Ovis aries: one gene and its partners. The protein of the gene in region 1 interacts with the protein of each later gene in a biochemical or structural test. Links are inferred from orthologs where the notes say so. Each region holds a gene or a part of one and is shown on either strand. Other genes may lie near its edges. The genes, in order: NEDD8, CUL4B, PSMD4, OTUB1, NUB1, HDAC6 and POLI.

Region 1 (2,923 bases):
GTATTTAGTGAGTGAAGTCGCTCAGTCGTGTCTGACTCTCTGTGACCCCAAGGACTGTGGCCTACCAGGGTCCTCCGTCCATGGGATTTTCCGGGCAAGAATACTGGAGTGGGTTGCCATTTCCTTCTCCAGGAGATCTTCCTGACCCAGGGATTGAACCTGGGTCTCCCGCATTGTAGGCAGACGCTTTACCGTCTGAGCCAACAGTGTATTTAGCCTTTCCATTAATATTTATCGACTGCTTATATGTCAAACACCATACTTTGTGCTTAGACTGGGAAGATTGAACAGTCTCTGTCCTTTAGGAAGTTGGAGTGTAAATTGGAGAGTTTGACACTTAAAACAACTAGCTGTAATATCTATTAAAGTGCATTGGTAAAAAAAAAAAATTAAAAAAAAAATAAAGTGCATTGGTGACAAGTCATCAATCTTAAAGGGTCCCTTGAAGGTTTGAGAAAGATTGGAAGAGGGGATGGCAACAAGGAAAACAGTAGAAGCAAAGAAAATGTCCCTAAATTAGACTGTCCATTTGTAGTCTAGATTACTGTAGACTGATGCAGGTGGCGCTTTAAGAGCAAGAATGGATGGGAGATAAGATTGGATGAAGCACAGCATTTGTAAGTGTATGGTTGTGTTTTGGGTATCAGCAACCCTTAGCCTATGGAATAAGTCAAGAAGACCAGAGCTGCAATTTTAGGATTCAGGTGAAAATCTGGAGAAGATACAGGAGAATAGAATGTTGAGTTCTAGTATTGCTTAAAAAGCTGGTCAGAGGTGATCTCTAGTGTCCTTGAGAATGCTTTGAATTATCTGAGTGTTAATTTCTAGCATTAGTACATAAAACAAGGTCCTTTTCAAAGGAATACTCTCCTTAGGTCAACTCTCATTGCTGTCTTATCCAAAGGAGTTATAGTATTCTCATGGATTCTAATTGGGTGGGGAATGAGATGACCTGTGAGATTAAGAGGTCAAATGGTTTACAGACTCTTCCCCTGTCAAAGTTGTTCACAGCCTAAAAATGTCTGAAATTGGGTCTGAGCAAATACTCCTGACACTTCAAATCAACTTTGCTGAGAATGTGCATTTCTCAGGAGGGAGTCAATCCCCCAAGGCTAGGCCAGGATGTTTTACCTAGGAGACAAATTGTATACTGAACTATAAGACTTATGAAAGCCTTGCCTATTTCAGACGCTGACCGGAAAGGAGATTGAGATTGACATTGAACCCACGGACAAGGTAGTGTATGCCCAGTACCTCTCCAAGCCTATCTCCCTACATGTGCCTTTGCCTGGGTATGCTGATGAAATTAGTCCTTTTGCTCTCATGCGATCTGCATAGCTCTTGTTCTTTCCACTTCCATGGTCCCTCCCCCTGAGCAGCCCCTGACTACTTGTACCCCTAAAGGTGGAACGAATTAAGGAGCGTGTGGAGGAGAAAGAGGGGATTCCACCACAGCAGCAGCGGCTCATCTACAGTGGTAAACAGATGTAAGTATGGAATGGAAATGAAGGTATGGTGATGGGATTTTTTTTTTTGGCTATGCTAGGTCTTTGCGGCGCTGGCTTTGCTCTAGTTGAAGCGCGTGGGGTTCTCAATGCCGTGACTTCTCTTGTTGCAGAGCACCAGCTGCAGGGCGTGTGGGCTTCAGTAGTCTCAGCTCCCGGGATCTAGGGCACAGGCTCAACAGCTGTGGTACATGGGTTTAGCTGCTTCTCAGCATGTGGGATCTTTCCAGATCAGGGATTGAACCTCTGTCTCCTGCACTGGCAGGTTGATTCTCTGCCACTGAGCCACCAGGGAAGTCTGAAAATATCTCTAATTTCTCTTGTTAACAGGTTACCTATATTGCTAATTCCTCTGTGGGCTTTTGTCTGTGTTCAAAATTGAAAGAAATATCAAGTTACAGTTGGGGGTTAGTAAAAACATAAAAGATGTAATTTATTTTCTCATATGCACTCATAGATCTCCAGAGATCCATGAAACCCAGGTCAAGAGTGCCACTCTAAAGGGTGTTGCTAACAACTTGTTTTCCTGTTTTTGCCTCTTCCTGTAGGAATGATGAGAAGACGGCAGCTGACTACAAGATACTAGGTGGCTCAGTCCTCCACCTGGTGTTGGCTCTGAGAGGAGGGGGTGGTCTTAGGCAGTGATGGACTCCGCTCCGCTTGACCTCCCTGCCCTGTCACTCATAATGAGGCATCGTATATCCTCTCCCTCTGTGGGACACCAGAACCACTCCCCGCTCCCCTGGCTGCCCAGTCTTGTGTGTCTGCTGGTGGGAGACTGTGAGGACCCCAGGAGGCAGTGTTCCTGGCCCAGAGGGCCCTTGCTGGCTACTGGGTTTTAGTTTGCAGTCCTGTGTGCTTCGCTCTCTTATGGCTGTGTCCCTGGTTCTCAATAAAATATTTCTTGACCTCCTGGAATCTTTCTTCTATTGCACAAATGTGACTGAAATCAAAGTGGACCCAGGGAATTCCCCAGTGGTTCAGTGGTTAGGATTCCGTGCTTTCACTGCTAAGGGCTAGAGTTCAGGCCCTGGTTGGGGAACTAAGATCCCACAGAACCAGTCGGATCTTAGTTTTGGGTGTGGTAAAAAAAAACCCAGAACGGACCCGGTGCACACCCAGTTACACCAGGCTGAAGGACTGTGACAATGGACAGGAATGCACCCTTGGAGGAATTCTCAAACTGTAAGTGTATATACTCAGGAGTGTGCCAGAGCCAACTGTTACTTGTGCCAGAGTTAATCGCTGGCATCTTTCCCAGCCCCATATTAACTGACTTCATGTTGGTAGCTTGAAATTGGCCACGGTCAGAGTATTTACAGAAATTGACAATACAAATCAGTCCTTCCCCCCAAACTGGTTGTTAAATATCTTTCAGCATACTATTGATGTAGGTGTTAGAAACCAGGAGAGTGAGT
Region 2 (3,500 bases), on another chromosome or scaffold:
GCCATGAGTTTGATCAATCTATGGTTGGGAACTAAGAACCCACATGCCACAAGGTCAAAACAAAACAACAAAAAGCAAGTCTTAGATGTAATTGAGCACTGTGTTTTCAGTTCATTATTTCCTGATTATCTTTCCTCAAATGGAAATTTGTGAGGACAATAAGAGTAAAGACATAAAGAAATTTTATTTACGTTAGTGGTACAATGTAGATTTGGACCCTAATTAGAGGTAAAAAGTGAAATTTTACGTTTCCCTAGAGGCAAGATGAACAAAACCCAACAAATCTACAAAACATAGGCATTCCATTTTAAGCTGGTTTAAAAAGTGAGGGACAGAGGGAGGAAAAGATGAAAATACAAGGTTTTTTTGTTTTTAAAAGGATATTCTCTGAACTGATGAATCTGTGCTTTGATGTGATCTTCACAAATCTGTCTCAGCTGTTTGTACAAGTTTGCAGAAATCTTGTAAGAACAGAGATTTTCCACAGCCTGCAAAATTAAACACATACTTTCTTAAGGAGTGAATGTATCTCTGTATATATATTTCTTGATTATTTACATCTAATTCCTATTATTTGTTATTTCTACCATGTTAACTTATTAAAAAGGATGTCATCCATTTAAAACACAAGGTAAAACCACCAAATATCAATGCAATTAGTGAACTTTTTTCATAACCAGTGTAGTATACCACCCCTCCCCAAATCTGTTTATTCTGGCAGTACAGTTTAAGTATGGGGGGAATCAAGCCAAATTCTCCACTTGTAAAGACACTGAATTTATAACAACTGCTACATATAAACTCTGTCTTATTCATAAAAATGTTAATTGTTTTTCTAAGCAGAATTCCATTTTGAGTTTGAAAAATAATTTTACCAACTGTTTATTAGATAGTTTGGGGAGAAGGGAAAGGCTACCTACTCCAGTATTCTGGCCTAGAGAATTCCATGGACTGTATAGTCCATGGGGTTGCAAGGAGTTGGACACAACTGAGTGACTTTCACTTTCACTGGGCAGTCCAACTACCACTGAATTTAAATTTATTTATACTTTCTTTGGTTTTCCTGAACAGAGCAATCCAGAATTTGTTGCAAGCAGTGTTATAAGAATGAAATAATTATACAAGGATTTATCTCCAACACTGCAGCTTAAGAATATTTAAATAGCCATTTTAAAATTTTGCACAATGGAATAAACATTAACTCCTAAAGAAATACTGAATTTTTATTTTTTCTAATTGTTGGATTGGTCTTTTATAGTCAAATCCCAAAAGGACAAAACTGAGATTTCACTGAGTTTCTTCTTAGGTGTATCAAAAGACTTTCAAATTTAATACAACAGGCATGGTAGAACTCTGAAATAATCTACAATTCCAACTAGTAATGACTTAAGTATAACACCAGGATTTCTTTCTCACCACAAGAGAAGGCAAAAATTCCATTAAAATTGACTCTAAGGGACCATCCAAGTCCTGTTGGTTGGATTGAAATTTTATAAATATGTAGTTGGAAGTCATATTCCCAGCATGCAGGTCCAGCAAATAAACTCATAAATGAAAAGAAAGCTTAAATGAAACCACTTATACTAAAGGAGGAAAGGTGCTACACCTTACCAGCAAACAGCAGACCACTTAGACCCAGCAGCTAACGAGGAATAAGGAAGCGAAGTTCCTGCTGGCCACCACTTACGATGGGGCCTTGGGTCAGGCCACAAATGTCTAAGAGTGCGTTTATTTCATGTGCCTGACTGGTTCACAATGATCCCCTATGGACTCTCTTCCTCCTTTAGTAGTCTTCTCATTGTATCTTGGTGTTCCTTTTGAATGATTGATTTTCTCAGCGTTTCTTGTTTCCCTGCTTAAGTTGTCTTTGTAGTGCATTTTCTTCACATTTCCCACTTCAAGTACTTTTCCAAGTCCTACTTCTACCATTCCCTTCTGCTGTGATACTTTCTTCCATACGTTAGTTCTCATCCCACCTGTTTATCTTCTCATACAGGATACCACATTCCCTTACTACTCAGCTAGGTTCCACTTCTTCCAATAAACTTTCCTTAACTGTCTCAGCTACCAATGACTCGTATGGCACTACCAACAGTCATACCATACTGACCTGTCACTGAATCAACACTGTATCTTTGAATGTGTATATCCTGGCCCCCAACTCTCCTTAATGACAGAAAGAGACCAGACCATGGGCTCATGTACCTGTATGTTCTTTAATACTTCTGGGGCTCTAAACCAGGAGAATATAATAAATATTCAAAAAACTAATGTACTTATAACTAGCAATGTGTCCTACACACAGAAGAGGCTTACAGCATAAAGTGAAAACTGGTCAGAAAATATGTAATTACAACACACTATTAGGTGCTATGATGGGGATAAACATAGAGGTGAGGTCTCTAACTCAATCTTTATGGCAGGGAAAAGTCAGGAAAGGCTTGCTGAGCAGCAGTAAAGAGGTGGAGTTCCAAAGACCCAGAGGGATGTGGATAAAGAGCTTATGGGAATAGTGAGAAAAAGAGAATTGGGCCCAGGTGGAGCAATGGTAGAGAATCCACCTGCCAATGCAGGAGATTCAAGAGATGCAGGTTCGATCCCTGAGTTGGGAAGATGCCCTGGAGTAGGAAATGGCAACCCGCTCCAGTACTCCTGCCTGAAGAACTCAATGGACAGAGGAGCCTGGCAGGCTACAGTCCATGAAAAATGAAAGTGAAAGTGAAGTCGCTCAGTCATGTCCGACTGCGACCCTGTGGACTGTAGCCCACCAGGCTTCTCCATCCATGGGATTCTCCAGGCAAGAATACTGGAGTGGGTTACCATTTGGACACAACTGAGCAACCAAGTGTGTGTGCATGCACATTATATGCATATGGCTTCACGTGTGCTTAGAAAGCGGTTTAAGATTGTTGTTGTTCATTCACCAAGTCGTGTCCGATTCTTGGCAACCCCATGGACTGCAGCACACCAGGCTTCCCTGTCCCTCACCATCTCCTGGAGTTTGCCCAAGTTCACGTCCATTGCATTGGTGAAGCCATTCAACCATCTCATCCTCTGTCACCAGGTTTAAGTTATTAGAAGCAATAAAAGAAGGAAAGGCCAAGGCAGGAGGATCTAAGGTGAATTTTGAAGGTCAAGATGGAACAGAACCCCTTACTAGTCTCTAATTTAGCCTTGACTGCTTAACATATAGACCAGATTGAGTAATTTTCCATCTTTAAGAACTTTTCCATCAAGCTCTTCAGGTATTGTTATGGAGAAATTGCCTAACAGGTATAAAAAAATACAAAGGACTGCATGGTGTGGTGCTGAATAGTGGTCTACTATCATTTATGTATATATAAAAAAGAAAATTGAGAAAACCTCCACACATCTGTTTTTGCACACATGAAACATTTCTGGAATGATACCCCTAATAACATTTGTTTGCTGGGGCAGGGAGGTTGGAGTGGAAATGAAACTTTTCACTACGTGCTCTCTCATAGTTTTTGGGTTTTGAG
Region 3 (4,040 bases), on another chromosome or scaffold:
GATCATCCAGCTGCAATAGCTACTAAGTACAAAGGCTGTGGGCAAGACCAGCAGATGGATGAAGGCTGGAAGAAAGATGTCAGAGGAAGCCCTGGGAGGTGGGGGGGGGGGGGGGGGGGCAGCTGAGAGGGAGGAAGAACCTGCTGTGCAGAACACGAGAGCGGTCCTCCTGCTGTCACGAGTGTATCAGAACCACTTTGAGGGTGACGGTGCTGGCACTGGTAAAAACACAGATGCTTGCACACCTATGTGTGCACCCCTAAAAAATGCAGTTTGCTTTTCCCAACATTGAACTTTATACAGACAGGATAATACATGCATTTCCTGTGACTACTTTCACTCAACAGTAATTTTTCCCAATAAAATTTTATATCAAAATAAGGGCTGACAAAATTATCCAGCTATTCCATAAAATTTTCATTAAAAAAAAAAAAAAATACAGATGCCTAAGCTTCCCTGGCTGGGAGTCTGAGCCACCAGACCAAGCAGAATCAAATATACACAACTTTCTGAGGGCCAGCAAAGCATGAGCAAAGAAGTGGCTTTCACTGCTCTTCTATGGCTGGGCTGTTACAACAGGGTGCCAGTGCATCACTCTGGACCTAACCTTTCCTCCCATACCCCAAGCCAGATCAGCATTCTTAAATCCCATTTTGTATATAGCTCTGGCTCCACCAGCCTCAGAACGTTTTCAGTAGTCCTCCATTGAAGGGTAAAGGGCAGAATTCAGCCTCCTCAACCCGACATCTGTGCTCTTCTACCTGGCTGCATGCCCCTTTCTCCAAAAAAGGGAACCACCTTCAACCAACAACCTAATAATGAAGCCACACTAGTCCATTTTCTACTCCCTAAACAAGCCTTGAGAATGTACACTTCAGCAGCTTTCCTTATGCCCTTCTCCTTACATGTAATGGCCTCTCCTTAACATTTGTCTAAGTCCCTTCAAGGACCCTCTTAAATTCTTTCCTGAGGACTTCTTAAGCATCATGGCAACTAACAGATGCAGAGTGCTGCAGTTTACAGAGCACCACGACACACACTGCCTACCCTTGCTATGAGAAGAGTAGATGTTACTATTATATTCGCATTTTATAGCTAAAGTGAGAGATTTACTACATTCTCAAGAACATGCGGCTGGAAAGTACCCCAAACACAGGATTTTGGATTCCAAATCCTGTCCTCTTTCTACTCTTAACTTGCTTTCGTCCAGAGGCTGCCATATTTAGCAAATGAAAATACAGGGCTCCCAGAATTCCCTGGTGACACAGTAGTAAAGAGTTCGCCTGCCAATGCAGAGAACATGGGTTCGATCCCTGGTCTGGGAAGATCCCACATGCTACACAGCAGCTAAGCCCAAGTGAGCTGCAACTACTGAGCCTGTGTGCCACAACTACTGAAGCTCCGGCGCCTAGAGCCTGTGTTCCACAGCAACCAGAACCCTGCAAACCCTCACCACAACAAACAGTAGCCCCAGGTCCCAGCAACTATAGAAAGCCCAGGCAAAAGCAGTGAAGACCCGGCACAGCCAAAAACAAATAAAGAACAGAAAATACAGGACTCCCAGTTAAATCTGAATTTCAGACAAACAACAGTAACTTTCTAGTGAAAGTATGTCCCATCCAATATGTGGGACATACACATGGCCATTGTGATATTAAAAATAATTGTTTATCTGAAATTTAAATTTTACTGGGCATCCTATGTGCTATCTGGCAACAGTATCTACCCAGCAAAAAGAAAACCCTTAGGTGTCTGTTCCATGCAACTGGGGATTTGTGTGTGTTTGTGTATTATTCTGTTTTCATTCCAGGCTCACACTTAGAAGAAACTCTTGAAACCTTGCAAAAGTGTGGTCCTCAGTTTTAACAGCTAGCCAAGTCAGACTGATGAGAGCTCACTGGATAAGTGCCGAAGCGTCTTTGAGTCAGATAATCCTGAGTTTAAACCTAGGCTCCACCACTTAACCTGCTGTGTGATTCTGTGTAAGTCATTTAAAACTGCCGAGACGCGGTATCCTCATCTGTAAAAGGGAGGGAGTATTGTGAGGCTTAAGTGAGATGAAGCAAATTAAATGCCTAACATTTAGAAGGTAGCTTAGTAAAGAATCTGCCTGCAGTACAGGAAATCCGCATTCGTTCCCAGGGTCGGGAAGATCCTCTGGAGAAGGAAATGGCAAACCACTCCAGGATTCTTGCCTGGAAAATCCCAGGGACAGAGGAGCCCAGCGGGCTACAGTCCATGGAATCGCCAAGAGTCCGACACGACTTAACGACTAAGCCACAAACACTTAAAAAGTACTCTTGTAGTGCCTTTGACGGTAACACCAGGAAAAGCAAAGGAGTTAGCGACAAGTGAGTGGGGCAAGGAAGGGAGCTGAAACTCTCTTCCTAACACCCATCATTGTGAAAAGGAGAGGAAGGCAGAAGACTAGCACGGTGAGTCCGAGAAGCAGGACTCTAGCTAAAGACAGATGTAGGCTGGTCTAGAGAAGACGACGCTGTAATGGAGAAAAATAGCAGGACCGGTCAATGACTGTCCGCGGACTGAGGGTTAAGGGGGGTACCTCGGGCCCGTCCGTCGGGAACTACCTCTGGGGCCCCGGGATGACTCAGGGAGTCGCTGGAGCTCCTTTCCTCCCGGCCCAAGGCCTCATCTCTTCCACCAGGCCCCCTCGCCCACCCCAGGACCGCCTGGCCTCCGAGCTACAGGCGCCCCCGACCCAGTCCCGCTGCCCAAGGGGGCCCGAGGTGGCTCCTCACCAAACCATAGTGCTTTCCAACACCATCGTGCCTCCTTCCTCCCTCCCCGACCGGTTCTCCTAGACCACTAAACAACAGCTCCTCCAATTGGCCCGGCGCGCATCACCAATCACTGACCTCGGTTGGGCCAGCTGGTTCCGCCTTCATCCCCGTGTTGCTTTCTGGGAGTTGTAGGCGCCGCCAGAAAGAAAAAAAAAAGTGGGAGCTGTTTGGGGCGGAGGGAGGGGCCAAGTAACACAAAAAAGAGGGCCACACCTCCACCTGCCCTGCCATTCAGGTTTTCTGGTGGCGTTCCTTGCAGAGAAGAGCTAAGAAAAAACGTGAAGGAACTTCTGAAAGTGCTGAAGCTATGTCTATTCCAGCATCATCGTTTTTAAAAACTGGTGGGATGACTACTGACTACTGACTTTCCAGCTCCCCCGGTTCCCCATGGCACTTTGTTCATCAAACTACTAAGCACTTATACCTCTGAACTGCATTTGTTTGTGTATCTGTCTTTCTCATTTCATTAAGGGCAAAAGAAAGTGAAAGTGTTAGTCGCTCAGTCGTGTCCCCCTCTTTGCGACTCCATGGATTGTAGCCCGCCAGGCTTCTCTGTCCGTGGAATTCTCCAGGCAAGAATTCTGGAGTGGGTGGCAATTTCCTTCTGCAGGGGATCTTCCCCAATCCAGGGATCGGACCGATCTCCTGCACTGCAGGCAGGTTCTTCACCGTCTGAGCCATCAGGGAAGTCCCCATTAAGGGCAAGAGAAGTGTCAATCTCTGCTATCCCTAAGTCCACTACAAAGCCTGACATATGGTAGGAAGGCAGAAAAAAGTTTGATGAATCAATAATTTTAACTAATCTCCCAAAGAATGGGAGACAACCTAGTCAATCACTTTCGCTTTTTAATCAAATCACATTTTAGTGACTTCCCTGGCAGTCTAGTGGCTAAGACTGTGCTCCTAGTGCAGGGGGCCCCAGGTTCAATCCCTGGTCAGGGAAATAGATCCTACATGCCACAACTAAGACCCAGTGCAGCATCCCTCAAAAGAAGAATTACATTTTAAAATGTCTTAGGGATTTCTCTAGTGGTACAGTGATTAAGACTCTGCACTTTCAGTGGAGGGGCTGTGGGCTCATACCCTGGTGGGGTAACTAAGATCCCACATCTGTCATGGTATGGCCAAAAAATAAAAATAAAATTATTTTAATTAAAAATGCCTTGGCTGGAAATTCCCTGACAGTTCAATGGTTAGGACTCTGCACTTCCACTGCAGAGAGCACCAGTTTGTTCCTTG
Region 4 (4,083 bases), on another chromosome or scaffold:
AGACTCTGCCAACCTGTGAACCAGTGACCAGAGGGCTCCCCAACCGTCCACCCCTCTGAGGCCAGGCCCAGCCAAGCGCAGGTATCAAGTGGCCAGGCTCCTGCCCCCACCCGAGGGCTCTTCCTGTCCCCTGGCCAGGCTCCCACCTTGATCTTCTGTTGATAGATGTTGTCATCCTCAGCATATTCTTTGTATAGGACAGAGAGCTCCAGCCGCTCCGAGACCAGTGGGTTCTGCACAGCAATCTGTGGGATGGGGAATCCATTACACTCTGACAGGCAAATGGAGTGACCCACACCTGTCAGCCCGAACATCTAGCTGAGAGTGGCTGGGCCAGTCACCCAGCGGCACATGGACCTCACATTCTCCCCATAAAGGCATCTAGTATCAGCTCAGCCTGGGGAGGAGGGAGCTTCCACAGTAAAGACAAACGGTAGGCCTCAGTCCAACCAATGTATCCCCAAAGTAAGGCCACTGGCCACAGCCACTCACCTCTTGCTGAATTCGGTCCTGCTGAGCCATGATGGCTTCATCATAAGCAAGACAGTTAACACCTGGAAAAAGGAAGAAGGCCAAGTATTACAGTGGGCCCTGGCTCTCCCCACTCCAGGAAGCTGGGCCGAGGACAAGAACGGGCCAGGAGAGCAGACGTGCAATCTGGAAGCATGCATCATGCCCTGCTCCACCCCAACTGTGGGATCTTGGCAAAGTCCTTCCATTTCCTGGGCATGAGTTATCTCATCTTTAAAGGGAGGAGGCCAGGGACTTCCCTGGAGGTCCAGTGGCTAAGGCTCCGAGCTCCCAATGCAAGGGGGCCTGGGTGTTAGGTAAAAGACGACCAGGACACCAAAAGAGTGTCTAACAGGCTTTAATGGCGAAGCGCTCCCGGGCGGGGTTCCCGGACCCGCCCAGAACGTGTTAGAAGTTTGTTTATATATGCACGCTGCGAGGGATGGCCAGGTTAGTGGATGGGGGTTTGGATAGGTTGCCGGGCCGAGGCGTCACGGGCTGATACGTCCTTCTACGTGGCGGAGGTGGGGCAGCTTTAGCTGGCAAACTGTGCTGTCACTGGTCCCCGGGATCTGGGAGGCCCCTTCCTTAGGGACTTCCCCCGCCGACGGGGGAGGGAAGGGGCGGCCCATCATGGCCCCCCGGGGTCCGATCTTACACTGAGTTTGATCCTTGGTCTGGGAACTAGATCCCACATGCCATAACTGAGACCTGGCACAGCCAAATAAGTATAAATAAATGGTGGAAAATAAAGTAAGCAGGCCAAGGTGATCGCCCCCCAGGGTACACTCTTCCAGCTCGAACAAGCCCTCTCCCCCTGCTCTCTAACATCACTTCCGAGCAGCCCGGAAGGCCCCTGAGCCAGGTCTATTGAGGAAAGACAGATGAGGAAGCAGACCATCTTCGGCTAGATGAGCGCTTTGCTTTCCTCAGTCACACCATTCCTCCACCTGCCATCCTGGGTATTCGTAGTGGTGCCCATTTTACAAAGAACAAAAACGCAGACAGGTGAAATCACCTGCCCGAAGTCGCGACGAGGAAGACCTGTGGTCAATCCCAGGTTTGTCTAATTGCAAAGCCTGGGCTCTTTGCCACAATAACTCCCCTGGCACCTCACTGCAGAGGCTCATCATCAGCTGTGAATAGAGACAGATAGCACCACCTTCCTCCCTTCACTGTGATGCCCTGAGGAGATGGTACCTTAAGAGGTGTAGTTCAATACTCATCACTGAGTTGGGCGGGTCCACCCTGTGGGCCCCATGCCAAGCAGCCACTGGTGAGGAGCCAGGAGACCTGAATCCTGGCTCTGGTTCTTTCTTAACTTACACGATCCTAAACCAGTCCCTTCGGGGATTGGGGGGAGGGTCTAGGTCCCCAAAAGCTGTTTTTCAGTGTGCGGTTAGAGAGGGAGCTGTGTGCTAAATGACTTTTAAGGCCAATCCTTTTGATCTTGAGCAGGCCGGGGCCTCAGCTGGGCTTCCACCCACCCCCGACACTGCACTGCAACTGGGCCATCCCTCCCAACCCTAGTGACCTCCTCAGTCCCCAGTGTCTAACTCAGGGGTGAAAAGAAGAGGGTGGGACCGTTTTGAGAGGTCCAACTCTTCAGGGGTCTAAGGAAACTATGCCGAGACAGGAAGCAAGGGGCTGCGAGGCTAGGAGAGGGGACTCTACCGGAAACGAAGGGCGCTGCCCTCCTGGGCACACACCTACGGCCGCTCACAACCCCGGGCGGCCCGCAGCATCCCCAGCGGCCCGCCCAGTCCTTTGTGCTCCGCAGCCCGGCGTAATTCGACGCCCTCCCGGGCTCGGGCCGCTCTGGAGGAGGCGGACTAGACGGGGCCGGACTAGGCCCGGGCCTGACTGCCAGGTCCGGGGCGGGAGAGCCGGGACCCGGGAGCCGGACGCCCAGCGGGGAGGGGGCTGGGCGGGGGGTGGAGGGGCGGAGCGGCCTAGGCCCCGCCCCAGGAGCGCGCGACAGGGAAGAGTCGCGGGCCGGAGGCCGGCCCGCTTTCTCTCCCGCCGCCCGGCCGGCCAGGGGTCGCGGCGGCGGCTCCTTCCATTGTGAGGGGGAGGGGAGGCGGCGGACGCGGGGGAAGGGGCCCTCCGCTCGCTTCGCCGCCAGCCGCCCCAGCCCTGGTTTCCTCGGGAACCGGCCATCCGGCATCGCCCCCGCTAGCCCAGGCCGGGCGGCTCTCCCCTGGTCGGTACCTTCGGAGTCGCTGCCAAGCGGCTCCTGCTTCTGCTGCTGAGGTTCCTCCGCCGCCATCTTTAAACAGCGCCGCACTGCCGACCGCTTCCGGGTTACTAGTCGGCCTCCCCCCGGAAGACAGCCCCTCCTCGAGGCCCCTCCTTGGTAACGCCCCTAGCAACGGGATCCCCTCGGGCGTAGTCACCCGAGGGGCTCGCAGTCTCGTTCGGCGGCGGCGGAAGCCGGGGAAGTGAGGGCAATCCCCGCCCGCCCTCCTCCCGCACACTTGCTCGGTTCCATCTTTCCAGGCTCCCAATGTGCCAGGTGGTGATAAGAGCTTCCTGGGGCCACTTGAGTTTTCTTTTCACTAGAGTTTGAAACGCGGATTGTATTATTGAGATAAGCAGGAAAATGAAATTCAAATCACGGAAGGCAATTCCCGCTGCGGGCTCCAGAACTCAAGACAGGCGAATGCAATGAGGATCACTTGGCCGAGGAGACCGGGAATTCTGCTAATATCCGAGCTCTGGGAATTCACCGCCCCCCTCCACCGAGTCTCGGTTCCGAGCGGGCTTTGGTGTCCTGCTTCTGACCGAGAGACCACGTCCCTCGGGGTCGACCTTACTTTGGACTACCTGCCCTTGTGGTTATGAGAAAATCAGGATTTTTTTTTTTTTTAAGATAGAAGTTGACAACAATGAAAAACAGATTCGTGGTTCCCAAGGGTTGAGTCGGAGTAAGGAGGGAAGTGGATGTGGTTATAAAAATGAAACAGAAGTATCCTTGTGGAGACAGAAGTGCTCTTTATCTTGAATATATATGGAGATCCTGGAATATGCTGTACTGTAGCTTCAAACGCAAGATGTTACCAGTGGGGGAAAGTGGGTAAAGGATACCCAGGATCTTTCTGTGTACTCTGTTAAAATCACCTGTGAATTATCTAAAAATAAAACTTAAAAAGTGTCAAGGCCTTGGATGCTGAAGATGCAGTTATTTAGAGAAGTCACCTTCAGGGGTACTGTTCCTTTGCCTTTCTCTATGGAGGGCCTTTTCCATGATATGACAGTGGTCTCTTAGCACTTGAGGAGGCCGTGTCTGAGCCCCAATCAGATCCCTCCGTTCATGATAATACAGGTGCAGAATAGGATGAATATCTTCATGAGCTACATCCAGTTCTGGAGTAGGGACGGTTGGTGCCTGGGCTCACCACACTGCCCACAGTGGCGCTCTCACAGCAACGCTACACATGCCAAGTCTTTGCCCCAGCAACATGGCAAATTACTATTTCCTAGGTCACCACCAATCCTTGTGTTTGCTTCGAAATTCAAGGAAGCAAAGGGGCTACCCATTTGGATCCCACTCCTACCACACTGGGCTTCTCG
Region 5 (3,500 bases), on another chromosome or scaffold:
ACTTATTTTGTCTTGGAATGTTACATAAAGGACTAGGAACAGCCTTCTGTCTCCAGTTGATAAACGGAGAATGTAACCTACAATGAGCATCTCCTCCGGCTGGCCCGCCTGGAGAGTTCAGTGCAGAATGGCAGGGCCTCCCTGTCCTGGAGCAGTGGCTTCCTGTGGCAGTGCTTGTCTCGGTGTAGTTTACTTTCCTCGAGGCCACATGCCCTAGTGGATGGATCAGAATGGGGGCCAAGAAAAGCTGACAGTTGGTTCTTCCGCCTCTTCCCTCTGGCCCTGCAGCCCCGCTCTCTAATTGGAGTAAGGGGACATGGCTTTACCTTTGAGCGTATCCAAGGGGGTCTTTCTAGCCGCATCTGCAACTTGGCCCTTGAGATCAGTCTCTGAGCTGGAATCCAGTAGCTTCTTACATGAAAAGCTTTAGTGGCCGTGGGTCATGTTGATTTTAATTTTTCGATCTTTAAAGGACATTTTTGAGTAGGTTTCACTATATGGGTTACATTGTTTAAAGTTAAATTTTAATAAGAGAACTTTGTAACTCTCACTGAGTTCATTTTTTTATGGTAATTATTTTCTCACTGCAAGTATTATATCCTCATATTAAATGATAATATTTAGATCTTTGTGGAAAACCTTTACAATATTTATATAAGAATTCAAATCTAAAAATATTAATGAATTTTAAGGAAATTTGGATCGTCTTACAAAAATTGTTTCAGAAATGCTACAGTTGACAGATTCTTCAGAGAAAAACCCAATTAAGAATAGGAGGTGAAATGAATGAATGAATGTTCTTTCTAAAAAGGATACAGTCATTACTGGCTTTTTAAAAATATGTTTAGTCTTATGGATACTAGAAATAGACCCAGATCAGCAGATACTAAAATAAATTGATAGAAACAAAGGGACAGGCACATTAAATGTCCCTCAAAGGGACAGACTCACTAAATGGAATTCTTGTTTCAGTGTTTAAATGAGATGAAGCTTTAATTCTGTTTTCCTTAATTTTGACTTTTAGATTCAGTTGTGGTCTTGGTTTTTTTTTGTTTGTTTGTTTTCATGTTCTTTGATTTGTTTAGACTTAATATGCTTTTAATATAATTTGTTTTATTATAGTTTAAAGTGATGTTTTTTTAAATCCTTATTTTTCCCTAGGCCCTTATGTTAGCTATGGGATATCATGAGAAGGGCAGAGCTTTCCTGAAAAGAAAAGAATATGGAATAGCCTTGCCATGTCTGTTGGACGCTGACAAATATTTCTGGTAGGCACTTTTGTCCTTGGTGGATGCCAATTTGGAGGAGGGTGGCAGTTAGGCACAGCACCTTCCCCACCCCTGTGCACCCCAGACTTCAGGCTTCCCCCAAGATGGTCAGTGTGAAAGAATAGTTACAATGTAGACTGGCTGGTGAACTCTTTCTCCCCATTGTATTTCTAATTGATCGCTAAAGAATTTTATAAACTTAGGTACTAATTTTTTTTACAACAAGCATGTAGGATTTCATGTCTGTTTCTTATTATGCGTTGCCCGCCTGAGCTACAGCTGACTCTACAGTCCCCGTCAGCTTTTCGCCTGATCGTTTTGGTATTCACGTTTCTGATCATTCTCCAAATCCGTTGTTTCATAGGGGCTCAAAACAATGATAGCTCATTATTCCTTCTGTGTGTATTGCTGGAATTCATTTGAAAAATACTTTTCCTCATCAGTCGCTGGGTTCTCCTGAGGTACAGTTTGTACAGAAAGACAGAACAAAATGCTTGGTTTCTCCTTATTTTCTTGTTTTCAGAATAAATGAGTGCTTCCCTAGCATCTTCTAAAGATGACGTCACTGGTGTCATCCCCTGCCTTTTTTTTTTTTTTTTTTTTTTAGTGTCAGTCTGAGCTCATGGATTTTAACACATTAGATTCGTTTCAAACCTCAGTGCTTATGGTGGCCGTCTTCAGTGGGCAGGTGGTGCTGCAGCCCTTTGCCCTGATGCGGTGGTCTTTGTACTCTGCTGTCTGTTGTCCAAAGCTGGTCTAGACTCACCCTGGCTATTTCCTGCCCCAGCACTTTCTCTGGTGCCTCTTAATGGGAAATGATACTAAGACACTATGATCCAGGCAGATGGAACATTTGAGAGAGAGACTTGATGCTTGCAGTGGTCGAAAGGTAATGGCTTTAGTGTTATTTTATTTTCCATTTTGAGAAATTCCCCATACATACAGCATACTTCAAGAAGATGAATGTTGGTGTTTCTAGTTTGCCAGCTGTGCAAGTGGCACCTTGCATTTAACCAGCTTAAATGTAGGCAGAAAGGGGGATTTTTTTTTTTTTATTTCCTAAAATATTTGGGAGGCAAGGGAGTAACCAGAATGGGGGCTTGGTGCCTCTGCCGTTTTCTTCTCCTGCCTCTTTGTCTCTGCTTTTATCTGAGTGTCAGCATTATTCTCTTCTGGTACAGGCAGTGTAGGCTGTAAGTTAGTCATTAAATTCAGATACATTTTTTATTTCCTTCCACAGTCGTTTCTAACTTTCTGTTATGGAAAATCTCAAACATATATAATATTGGTGATTAATATAATGAATTCCCACAGACTTTTCATTCATCTTCAGCAGTTATCAAGACAGGGTTGATCTTGATGTGTCTAACCCTTGAAATCATTTTCAGGTCTCAGGGAACCCTTGAAAAACAATAATAACTCTCTCTTCAGTTCATAGTCCATTCACATGTTCAGTGAGTAATAGATACAATAATCCAATAATAATTATCAGCGCCTTTTTAGGTAGAAAACGCTATTTTCTGGGGAACCTGTTTACTCAGGCCAGCTCACCAGCATACTTCCTGTGCAGGTCCCCTCTCTCCGTCAGAGGTCTACTCTCAACCGAGGCAGCGTGGAGATGGAAGAGGCGTCCCTGCCTCCTTCCCCCCGTGACATCTTCCTGCCTTCTCCGAGTAGCTCGAGTTCTCTCCCAGCTCTCTGTTGCACATCTTGGGGTGTGGTGCGTAGCGGGCCTGAGAGCAGCTTCTCTCCCATTTTCAACTAGAAAGGGGAGTTCTGCTCTTGGCCAGGGTGGAGTGACAGGGACTGGGTTTCCTCTCCCCTGCCTCAACTGAAACAGGGGACAAACTGTATACAAACAGTGGTTTTCTGGCAATGCAGGACAGTGGTCCCTGAGGTGGGGAAACAAACGCAGGGGAGCCTGTGGATTGTTTTAGCTCACTGCCTGCCGTTCCAAGACCTCAGCGTGGGGAGGAGAAACCCAGGCAGGGCCTCCCGGTCTCCCCCCAGTGCACGAGCTGGAGCTCAGGGAGGAGGGAGCTGCCTGAGGGACAGCATGGTGAGTGCAGAGGGCACCCCGGGGTTCTGCCCGGTGACGTCAGCACACACCTGTGAGGGGACCCCGTCCCCCCACAGAGAATTCAGTGGGGCGTGGCAGCAGGGGGAGGACTCATTTCGCCCTCCAGACTGCTCTGGTCCCGCCTAACAAGGCATCACACCACCACCTTAGAT
Region 6 (4,242 bases), on another chromosome or scaffold:
TAAACACTTAAGCAAGTTGTAGTCACTAAGTCATGTCCGACTCTGCGACTCCATAGACGGTAGCCCACCAGGCTCCTCTGTCCATGGGATTTCCCAGGCAAGAATACTGGAGTGGATTGCCATTTCATTCTCCACATAAGAATAATAATGGACAAAACAATGGCATCGGTTAGGAATATCTCAGGTGTGGGGAAAGGGGAGTGGCCAGGCAAAGCCCTCTCCAAGGGTCTCCTTGAGATCTGAATGTTAACTGGGAGAGGAGGCTGAGATGAGAGAATGCCAGGCATGTTGGAAGAACAGCAAGGGGATCAGTGTGCATGAAGTGAAGTGAAGCAAATGAGGGGTAGGATTGGCTGAAGAGGTCATGGAGGTGATATGGAACCAGGTCACATGGAACGCTGAAGGCCAGGATGAAGAATTTAAACTTTACCTTCAGGGAAACAGTCTGTCCTTGAAAGACTTTAAGAGAGAGAACATCATTGTATGTATTCTTTTAGGCTGTTGTATGGAGAACAGGCAATAGGGGCGAGGGTGGAAGCAAGGAGGTCTCTGCAAGTCTAGGTGAGTCATAATGGTGGTGGCAGTGGAGATGGCAAGGAGAGGTCAGATTCTGAATCCATTTCAAACAGCCAAAAGAATTTGCTGATGGATTGCAACATGTGACTGAATGGGAAGTGTAATTCTTCCATTTCAGCACAAAGGTCCCTTCTTCAAGGAAGCCTCCTGAGAACCCTGGTTACTAATCTAAGGTCCTCTAGTAAACACTCTTGAAAGCCCTGGTCTTAAGTCCTCCTTCACCAAATACCTCACGTTGCTGACGGCTATTTAGCGACCTGTTCTCCTACTTGTCAGCTCCCTGTCTGTCTTGTCTGACACATTCGTATCATGTCTGGCACACAGTAGGCACTCAATAAATGTTCGTTGGCTAAATGAAAAGAACCCATTCGAGCCTGATCCCCATCTCCCTAAATCACTTGCTTCCAGTCTCTAGGCTAGAGTAAGAAAGGGTTCATTCTTGCTAATGGGCTCTAAGTGCATATATTTGTGCACTGGGTGTGGCCTGGAGGAGCCAGCCTCACCTGTCATCCCAGAGGCAGTGGAATTCATTTAGCTGTTCATCGAACACCAAACCAGTGCCAGACAGTGTCCTGGCCTCCAGGTTCAGATTCTGCGAGGAAAAAAATGGGAGAGACTGATGCATTGAGGGCCTGAATCAGAGGGAACATCCCACACTGTCCAGGATGGAGAACCTTAGGGTTTTGATTGTCCCAGGAGCCTCTCACCAGCCCTTGCAGCCCCATGATGAGGTCTTGCTCGGCTGTTTGGCTAAGCTTCTTCATTCTGCCTTTCTTCTTTACCTCCGCTAGACTGGGGCTGGAGCGGAGCATGGCACCCTTTTTAATACCTCGCTTCTGCCAAACAGAGAGAAGGGTCAGAGTCCAATGCACAGCCCGCTGCTCCCCCTCCCCCTCATCAAGGCAGGTTGGGGGGCCTCACCGAGGTGATGCTGGAGTCATGGGTGGGGGAGGGGGGATTGTGCCTACTCCTTCGCTCCTTGGGTGTGGTGGAATCCTGACCGGTGGAGGTCATGGCTGGGGAGACTTCACCCCTGACGCGGTCCTGGGGGGTGGGGTGGAGGTGACGGTGAAGGAGCCCGAACGCCCTGAAGACCCCACATACCAGCCCCTTCCCAGACCCCGCCCCCTAGGCTAGTCTCCTTCCCTTATGCTGGCTCTTCCCGACCGCCTTTTAAACTCCACCTCTCAAGGCTCTCTCCCTCCAACCGGGTGTCCATCCTACCTGGTCCCGCCCATTCCACTAGGCTCCATCCCTTTAACACTATTCTTTCTCCTTTCAAAGTCTTGCCCTTTAACAGAGCAATTAACCCCCAAGCTCAGTCCGTTCTCTCCGCCCCTTCCGCTCTATCAACCCTTTCATTCCCCAAAGCCTCGCGCAGACCCCACCCCTTCGCAAACCTGCCCCTTCCAGCCAATCTCCCAAGATCATCAGCCACCCTTTCACTCAGCCAGACCCAGCCCCGGCCCCGGCCCCGACTCCACCCTTAACGATCCACTTAACTCCACCCCTTATCGGGCCAGCCCAGCACCTTCCATTTGGCTAGATCCTGACCCTAACGTTTTGACAAGCCCAGCTCCTCAGGGGACTGCCTCTTTCCCTCCAACAGGCCCCACCCCCTACCCAAGTCCAACCCCTAGCGCTTCACCAAGCTCCTTCAGTCAGTTCGAGCCGCCTTCCGCTGGCCCCTCCTCCTTCTCGCCCCGCCATTGGCACCGACCAATCCCTTCCGCGCCACTCACCGGGTGCAGCCCCTTTCTCAAACTCCGCCCTTGTCTGGAGCCTCCAAATTCCTGACGACCGCAGGTGCGTGATCCCCTCTTTTACATTGGGCCGAGTCTCTCCATAGACCGCCCCGATTCCGCCCACACAGGGGACCGTGCCGCACCGCCGCGCCCCCACAGCGGGCCACACCTCCCGTGGACTCACTATCGGCTACTCCACTTCTCTGCGCTCGACGCTGGCCGTACTGCGCCTGCGTGAGGCGCCTACAGGCGGCTCGACCAAGCGCCGGGGCTCAAGCCCGACCCTCTCCCAACCACCCCCGCTGTCGTCCTATCGGCCATGGCCGCCGTCCCTTATTCCCTGTCCACTTACCTTAGGGCCCCTCCAGACCCGCGCCACCCTACCGTGCGATGACTCAAGAGTGGAAGCAAGCAAACAAGGGCGTTAGGAAGGGGCGCTTTCTCACCTCCCCGTGGCTTCCCGCGCGACGCGCCGTAATGACGTAGCCCGGGCGGGCTGGTGGTAGTGCCTGGAAAGCGTTGGAATCTGGACAAGGCTGGTGGCGGCCAAAATGGGAGTGGTGATGATGATAAATGTGAGGATTTTCTGAGTTCATGTTCACTAAGGTAGTGCACAAGAAACATTCACCAAATGTTAGATACTAATATTCTGCCGCGAAACTGGTGGAGCAGAAGGAGTCTTGGTAGGGGCAAATAATTGTGATAATAGCAAGTATTATGTGACAGGCATTGTCGTAAGACAAAATACTATGAGGTCGTTCCTGGAGGCTGCTTTGCAGATGAGGAAACTAAGGTTACGTGACTTAACCATGTGACCTTGGGCAAGTTACTGAACATCTCTGTGCTTCAGTTTCCTCATCTGGAAAATTGTGATAATGATAGTGCCCAGAGACAGAATGGACCTCAGGAGGGGAGTTTTTATTTGGGCGGTGGCCCTCCACAGTGTCACTTCTACTCCCATGGTGTAATAGAAAGTGTGTGCCTAGCACGTAGGGGAGGTTGCCCCTGTGCACCCCATCCCCAGCTACCTCACATCACATGTCTAAATGTCAGCCCCACAGTAAGCCAGTTTGTCCTCCTAATCTCCCTGTCTCATTCTTCACCATTTCCTACTGGGCTGTAGGCTGGGGTGGGAGAGATAAGCAGTCTGGGGTTCAACATCGCTTACTAACAAACAGATTGACAGCCCCATTGCCCGGTAGCTGGGTCCTCTGACCGTCTTGCAAACCCCTGTTCGAGCCTTCTCGTCCCTTACAGTCTTTTCCTACCTGACCATGTCTTTTGTCCCAGTGGAAGAGGGTTACAGCTTTAAGACCTTTAAACCTCTGCATAGACCAAAGAAAGCATGTAGACAGTGATACACCCTGAGGAGCATTTTGAGACTGTGATGCAGGGTAAAAGAGTAGGGAGTCATGAAAAAGCCAAGGCCCATATTTTTCTGAATAGTCAGAAGAGAGATTTCTCTAGAGCTGACGTTGGCAAACTTTTTCTGTAAAGGGGCTGATAACAAATATTTTACGCTTTGCAGGTCACATATGGCCACTGTGGCATTGTCTTCCTTCCTGTTCTCCTTCCCCCTCTTCCTTCCTTTTCCTTTCTTTTGCTTCCCTTTCTTTCTTTTCTCCATCCCTTCCCCTCCTTTTCTCTCCTTTATGTTCTTTTTGTCTCTTTAAAAGTGTAAAAACAGGTTGCAGTCTGGCTTTGGCCTGAAGGTCACGGTTTGTGGATCCCTGCTGTACAGTGTCAGTCTTCGGTTTCCTTTATCTGGCTGGGATTCTTTTACAGGATGAGTGCAGAGGTTCCATGCTTCCTGAGGAGTGGCATTCCTTTTATGTGAGATGTGAGGATAGGGATTCATAGAAAAGGTCAGGTTATTTCTGGTGTTCTTGTACTGGGTCAAGCAAATGTTCCTGGACAGGGA
Region 7 (3,500 bases), on another chromosome or scaffold:
TTCTACATGGTAGGGTCTAGAAGTCACCAGCAGTCACTAGATGTTTGACAGCCCAAGGAGATATTCAGTGGAGCTGACTGCAGCTTATTTTCAAACACAATACTGCCCTGGAAATATCATCAGTCACTGGCACTTCAATTGTTAAGTAGATGAATTTCAACTGATTAAATATGAGCATACAAAGGACGGTAGGTAGGCCAGGAAGCTCCCACAAGGGCTAACATGGGAGGCTCTTGTTGCCCTGGGAGAATAGAAGTGAACAAGCAAAGAGGCAACAATGGCAAATTTAGTCTACCTAGAATTTTGCTTAAGATGGTTTTACGAAAACCAAAAATTACTCCAAGAAGCCAACTCCTGTAACTTAAGGATGGCCTAAAAGAGGTATGACACTTAAAAATGGTTAACACAGGACTGTGTCAGAGAAATGAAAAGTGCCCAAAGCACTGAGCTGTATGTCATCAAAATACCATTTTCTGCCTGTTTAATATGGAATAACAATATCTAATTTTAATCACCTTAGATGGCTGAACTATGGCAACAAAAGCCATAGAACTTTTGAAAGACACAGTCAACTCACTGAACTGATTGAACATTAAGAAATGCAGGTACTTTAAGTTACTAAATGGAGTGCGTAAGAACCCACTTACATTGATTATTGTATACATGGCCCGACACAGTCAGTGCTGAGAGCTCATCACTCTGAAGCTGCTCTAGTCTCTTCTCAACCATTTCTGTTAGATCCACAAAATTTTCATCAAACCCAAGTCTCTCAACAACTGGACTAAATTCTTCCAACAACTCTAAATTAAAATAATATTGGAGCAGATATAACTGATTATAACTAGAATAGATTTAACTCTTTTATTCATGCTTAAAAAATAACAAAATAAAGGTTTTACATATATTCACAATTACACAATATCTTGAATAAAGTCAGTTAACTGGGATTTTTTTTCCTGTGCCATATTCTGCGCAAAAGCAATATGTTCCAATAAAATAAGTCCAAAAATAACATTTCCTGGGCAGATACTCATAGCAATATATTTACCACAATCTCCTACACCAATAATTTATCTGTAGTACATTAAATATCAATGAACATAGTTAATTATAATCTTGAAGCAGTAGGTCATAGAGTCTGCTTAGAAAAATAAAGTAATAATATACTCAGGCTATATTTTTCACTAGAATTTTAAAAAGGCAAAACAAAATAAAACTTAAATTTCCAATGAATACTAAGTCAAAAAGAAAAGTTCCTTAATACAAAATATACTACAATGCAACATTTTGACTAGTCACCCTCCAACTCGTTCCCTAAGGACAGAGACGGATCGTGACTCACACGTATCCGAACGTCCAGCCTCTAGCACAAATGCCAGTCCTTATGTCAAATGTTTCCTAAATTGAACTGAACCAAGATTTGAAATAAGTTCAAAAAGACTATCAAGTCTCATTTTTAGGATTAAAACTAATAACTTTGAAACCATTAAGAAGAATTTTCACTTCTCTCTGAATCATCTACTGATACCAGCTGGGTAGCAGAAAATAACTTATTAGTCACTTATTATACAAAAATGCTTATGTTCTAAAAAAGTCCTATAATATGAAAGCTCTGTTTTATTGGTGCTAACACTGAAAACAGCAGGGTAAAACAATTAATAAAGGAACAGTATGATCTAGTGACCTTCAAAAATCACTTCCAACCTACTGAGAGAAAACAGAGGGAAAAACTGACAATGTGTCTGACCATATAAAAGAATTCTTTGAATTTCCCTCACCAATTTTTGCTTTTTTTCTCCCAAAAGTATATATCTGATGCCTAGCAGTAACAGGTAAAAAATAAACGTTTATCAAAACAATACTACAATAAGGAAAATAAAGGACAAATTTTAACTACCACGCAGAAAAGCAAGTTAAATACAGAATCATGTACAAAGCTGGTGGACTGCTGAACATGGACTGATTACATTAGTTCTATTACTAGGTCATAGGAATAAATCACTTGTCCATTTGTGAAGTTAACCTTTTTGGCTGTCAATATGTCAATTTCATAAACAAGATGCATTTATTACACCTTATGATTACACAAGCCAAAGGAGTTTGTAATTACAGAAAAAAATGGAATACTGTAGAATAAAGGTATAAAGTAAACAATAAGGTTATATGTCATAAATAGTTCTGAGGTAATTCAGTATACGACTATTAGGCTACATTCCTATTTCAACTCCAAAAACACCATGAAAAAAATTAACAAAATAACTTTTTATCAATGTATAAATCATGCTTAGAATATTTCTTGTTATTATATTAGCGCATTTTTAATTCTTTCAAGATACTAATTTATAAATTAAGAATCAGTGTAAAAACTGAGATTTATGCATTGATTTTCTAGTATGATACTTTTCACTGTGAAGAGTTGCAGTGGTACAGAAATCATTTAGACTGATTTGTCTGACATTATAAAGGAAAAAAGACAAAACATGTAGATAAATGACCAAAAATACATGAAAAAAATGCTCAAACTTCTCATAGAGAAATGCAAATCAAAACAACGATTTACTTTTTTTTCCAACTATCAGGCAAAATCTTTATGAATATCTAATACTCTCACACTTACTAACAATGTGCTGGGAAAACCTGAAGTGCATCATAGAGCAGTATGCAAATTTCTAATGCAAATTATCTTTGCTCAAGCAGTTAACCTTTAGGAACTTACTTTAAGGATAGCTTCATGAACGTATGTGAAAATTTCTATATGAAAATGTCTACTGAAGCACATATTGATATTTTTTAAGAGCAAAAAATTGGTAAGAGCCTAATAACCCCTCACTATAAGAGAAACCACATAATTTATCATCCAAAATGAGATATTTTTTTTAATGAAAGGAGATGCAATTAATGATTACATAAGGACAACAGGCATAAAATGAGATATACTGTCTTCAAATCAGTAAAGGAATGGTTAAATAAGTTTGGGACAAAATAGAATACTGTGCAGGCATTAAAAAGAATGAGGCAAGAGTTATATGGATGATGTGAAAGATCACCAAGAACAAAGATGTACAACTATATGTATTACATCATCTCTATGTACAGAAAAAATTATTTTCTGAATATTCAGATATATATATATAATTGTGCACAGATACACAAGTGGTATTTTGGGAGTACAGTCTTGTCTTTTTTGCTTGGCTCTCCCTTCTTCCCTCATCCCCCTGTTTCAGCACCACCTCTGCCCCTCCAGAAGTTACCCAGGGTTAAATACCGAGTATACACCCTCTCTTCTTTCTCTTCCTAAGTGTACATAGACACATACACATATGTGGGGGAAGGTGTTTGGGTCACTGTCTTACACATATGGAAAAACCTGATAACAGGTTTTTGCATCTTGCTTTTTACCCACTCAACAAGGCATACCTCTATGAATCAAATGAAATGATACCATTTGAGCTATTTTTAATGGCCATATAATATTCCATTATAGAGACGTCTTAAATTCA

The links.
Region 2: the proteins of NEDD8 (region 1) and CUL4B form a complex in vitro, tested with the Homo sapiens proteins (2 studies listed by BioGRID). The link is inferred for Ovis aries from reciprocal best matches to the Homo sapiens genes NEDD8 and CUL4B.
Region 3: the proteins of NEDD8 (region 1) and PSMD4 form a complex in vitro, tested with the Homo sapiens proteins (2 studies listed by BioGRID). The link is inferred for Ovis aries from reciprocal best matches to the Homo sapiens genes NEDD8 and PSMD4.
Region 4: the proteins of NEDD8 (region 1) and OTUB1 form a complex in vitro, tested with the Homo sapiens proteins (2 studies listed by BioGRID, with this or other methods). The link is inferred for Ovis aries from reciprocal best matches to the Homo sapiens genes NEDD8 and OTUB1.
Region 5: the proteins of NEDD8 (region 1) and NUB1 form a complex in vitro, tested with the Homo sapiens proteins (4 studies listed by BioGRID). The link is inferred for Ovis aries from reciprocal best matches to the Homo sapiens genes NEDD8 and NUB1.
Region 6: the proteins of NEDD8 (region 1) and HDAC6 form a complex in vitro, tested with the Homo sapiens proteins (2 studies listed by BioGRID). The link is inferred for Ovis aries from reciprocal best matches to the Homo sapiens genes NEDD8 and HDAC6.
Region 7: the proteins of NEDD8 (region 1) and POLI form a complex in vitro, tested with the Homo sapiens proteins (2 studies listed by BioGRID, with this or other methods). The link is inferred for Ovis aries from reciprocal best matches to the Homo sapiens genes NEDD8 and POLI.

The regions. Positions count from the first base shown.
Region 1 is NC_056060.1:20,759,894-20,762,816, forward strand, and holds the end of NEDD8 (NEDD8), read left to right. Parts: intron 1-1,188; coding exon 1,189-1,236; intron 1,237-1,404; coding exon 1,405-1,487; intron 1,488-2,053; coding exon 2,054-2,150; 3' UTR 2,151-2,423; downstream 2,424-2,923. UniProt on the Homo sapiens protein: Ubiquitin-like protein which plays an important role in cell cycle control and embryogenesis via its conjugation to a limited number of cellular proteins, such as cullins or p53/TP53.
Region 2 is NC_056080.1:104,877,681-104,881,180, forward strand, and holds part of CUL4B (cullin-4B), read right to left. Parts: intron 489-3,500; coding exon 384-488; intron 1-383.
Region 3 is NC_056054.1:101,142,646-101,146,685, reverse strand, and holds the start of PSMD4 (26S proteasome non-ATPase regulatory subunit 4), read right to left. Parts: upstream 2,801-4,040; 5' UTR 2,786-2,800; coding exon 2,760-2,785; intron 1-2,759. UniProt on the Homo sapiens protein: Component of the 26S proteasome, a multiprotein complex involved in the ATP-dependent degradation of ubiquitinated proteins.
Region 4 is NC_056074.1:38,767,155-38,771,237, reverse strand, and holds the start of OTUB1 (ubiquitin thioesterase OTUB1), read right to left. Parts: upstream 2,801-4,083; 5' UTR 2,780-2,800; coding exon 2,722-2,779; intron 555-2,721; coding exon 493-554; intron 246-492; coding exon 147-245; intron 1-146. UniProt on the Homo sapiens protein: Hydrolase that can specifically remove 'Lys-48'-linked conjugated ubiquitin from proteins and plays an important regulatory role at the level of protein turnover by preventing degradation.
Region 5 is NC_056057.1:115,531,670-115,535,169, forward strand, and holds part of NUB1 (NEDD8 ultimate buster 1), read left to right. Parts: intron 1-1,161; coding exon 1,162-1,268; intron 1,269-3,500. UniProt on the Homo sapiens protein: Specific down-regulator of the NEDD8 conjugation system. Recruits NEDD8, UBD, and their conjugates to the proteasome for degradation. Isoform 1 promotes the degradation of NEDD8 more efficiently than isoform 2.
Region 6 is NC_056080.1:56,256,806-56,261,047, forward strand, and holds the start of HDAC6 (histone deacetylase 6), read right to left. Parts: upstream 2,801-4,242; 5' UTR 2,768-2,800; exon of another isoform or gene 2,674-2,767; intron 2,498-2,673; exon of another isoform or gene 2,319-2,497; intron 2,181-2,318; exon of another isoform or gene 1,977-2,180; intron 1,920-1,976; exon of another isoform or gene 1,801-1,919; intron 1,621-1,800; 5' UTR 1,591-1,620; coding exon 1,498-1,590; intron 1,413-1,497; coding exon 1,251-1,412; intron 1,169-1,250; coding exon 1,080-1,168; intron 1-1,079.
Region 7 is NC_056076.1:54,034,412-54,037,911, reverse strand, and holds part of POLI (DNA polymerase iota), read right to left. Parts: intron 1,409-3,500; exon of another isoform or gene 1,343-1,408; intron 801-1,342; coding exon 648-800; intron 1-647. UniProt on the Homo sapiens protein: Error-prone DNA polymerase specifically involved in DNA repair. Plays an important role in translesion synthesis, where the normal high-fidelity DNA polymerases cannot proceed and DNA synthesis stalls. Favors Hoogsteen base-pairing in the active site.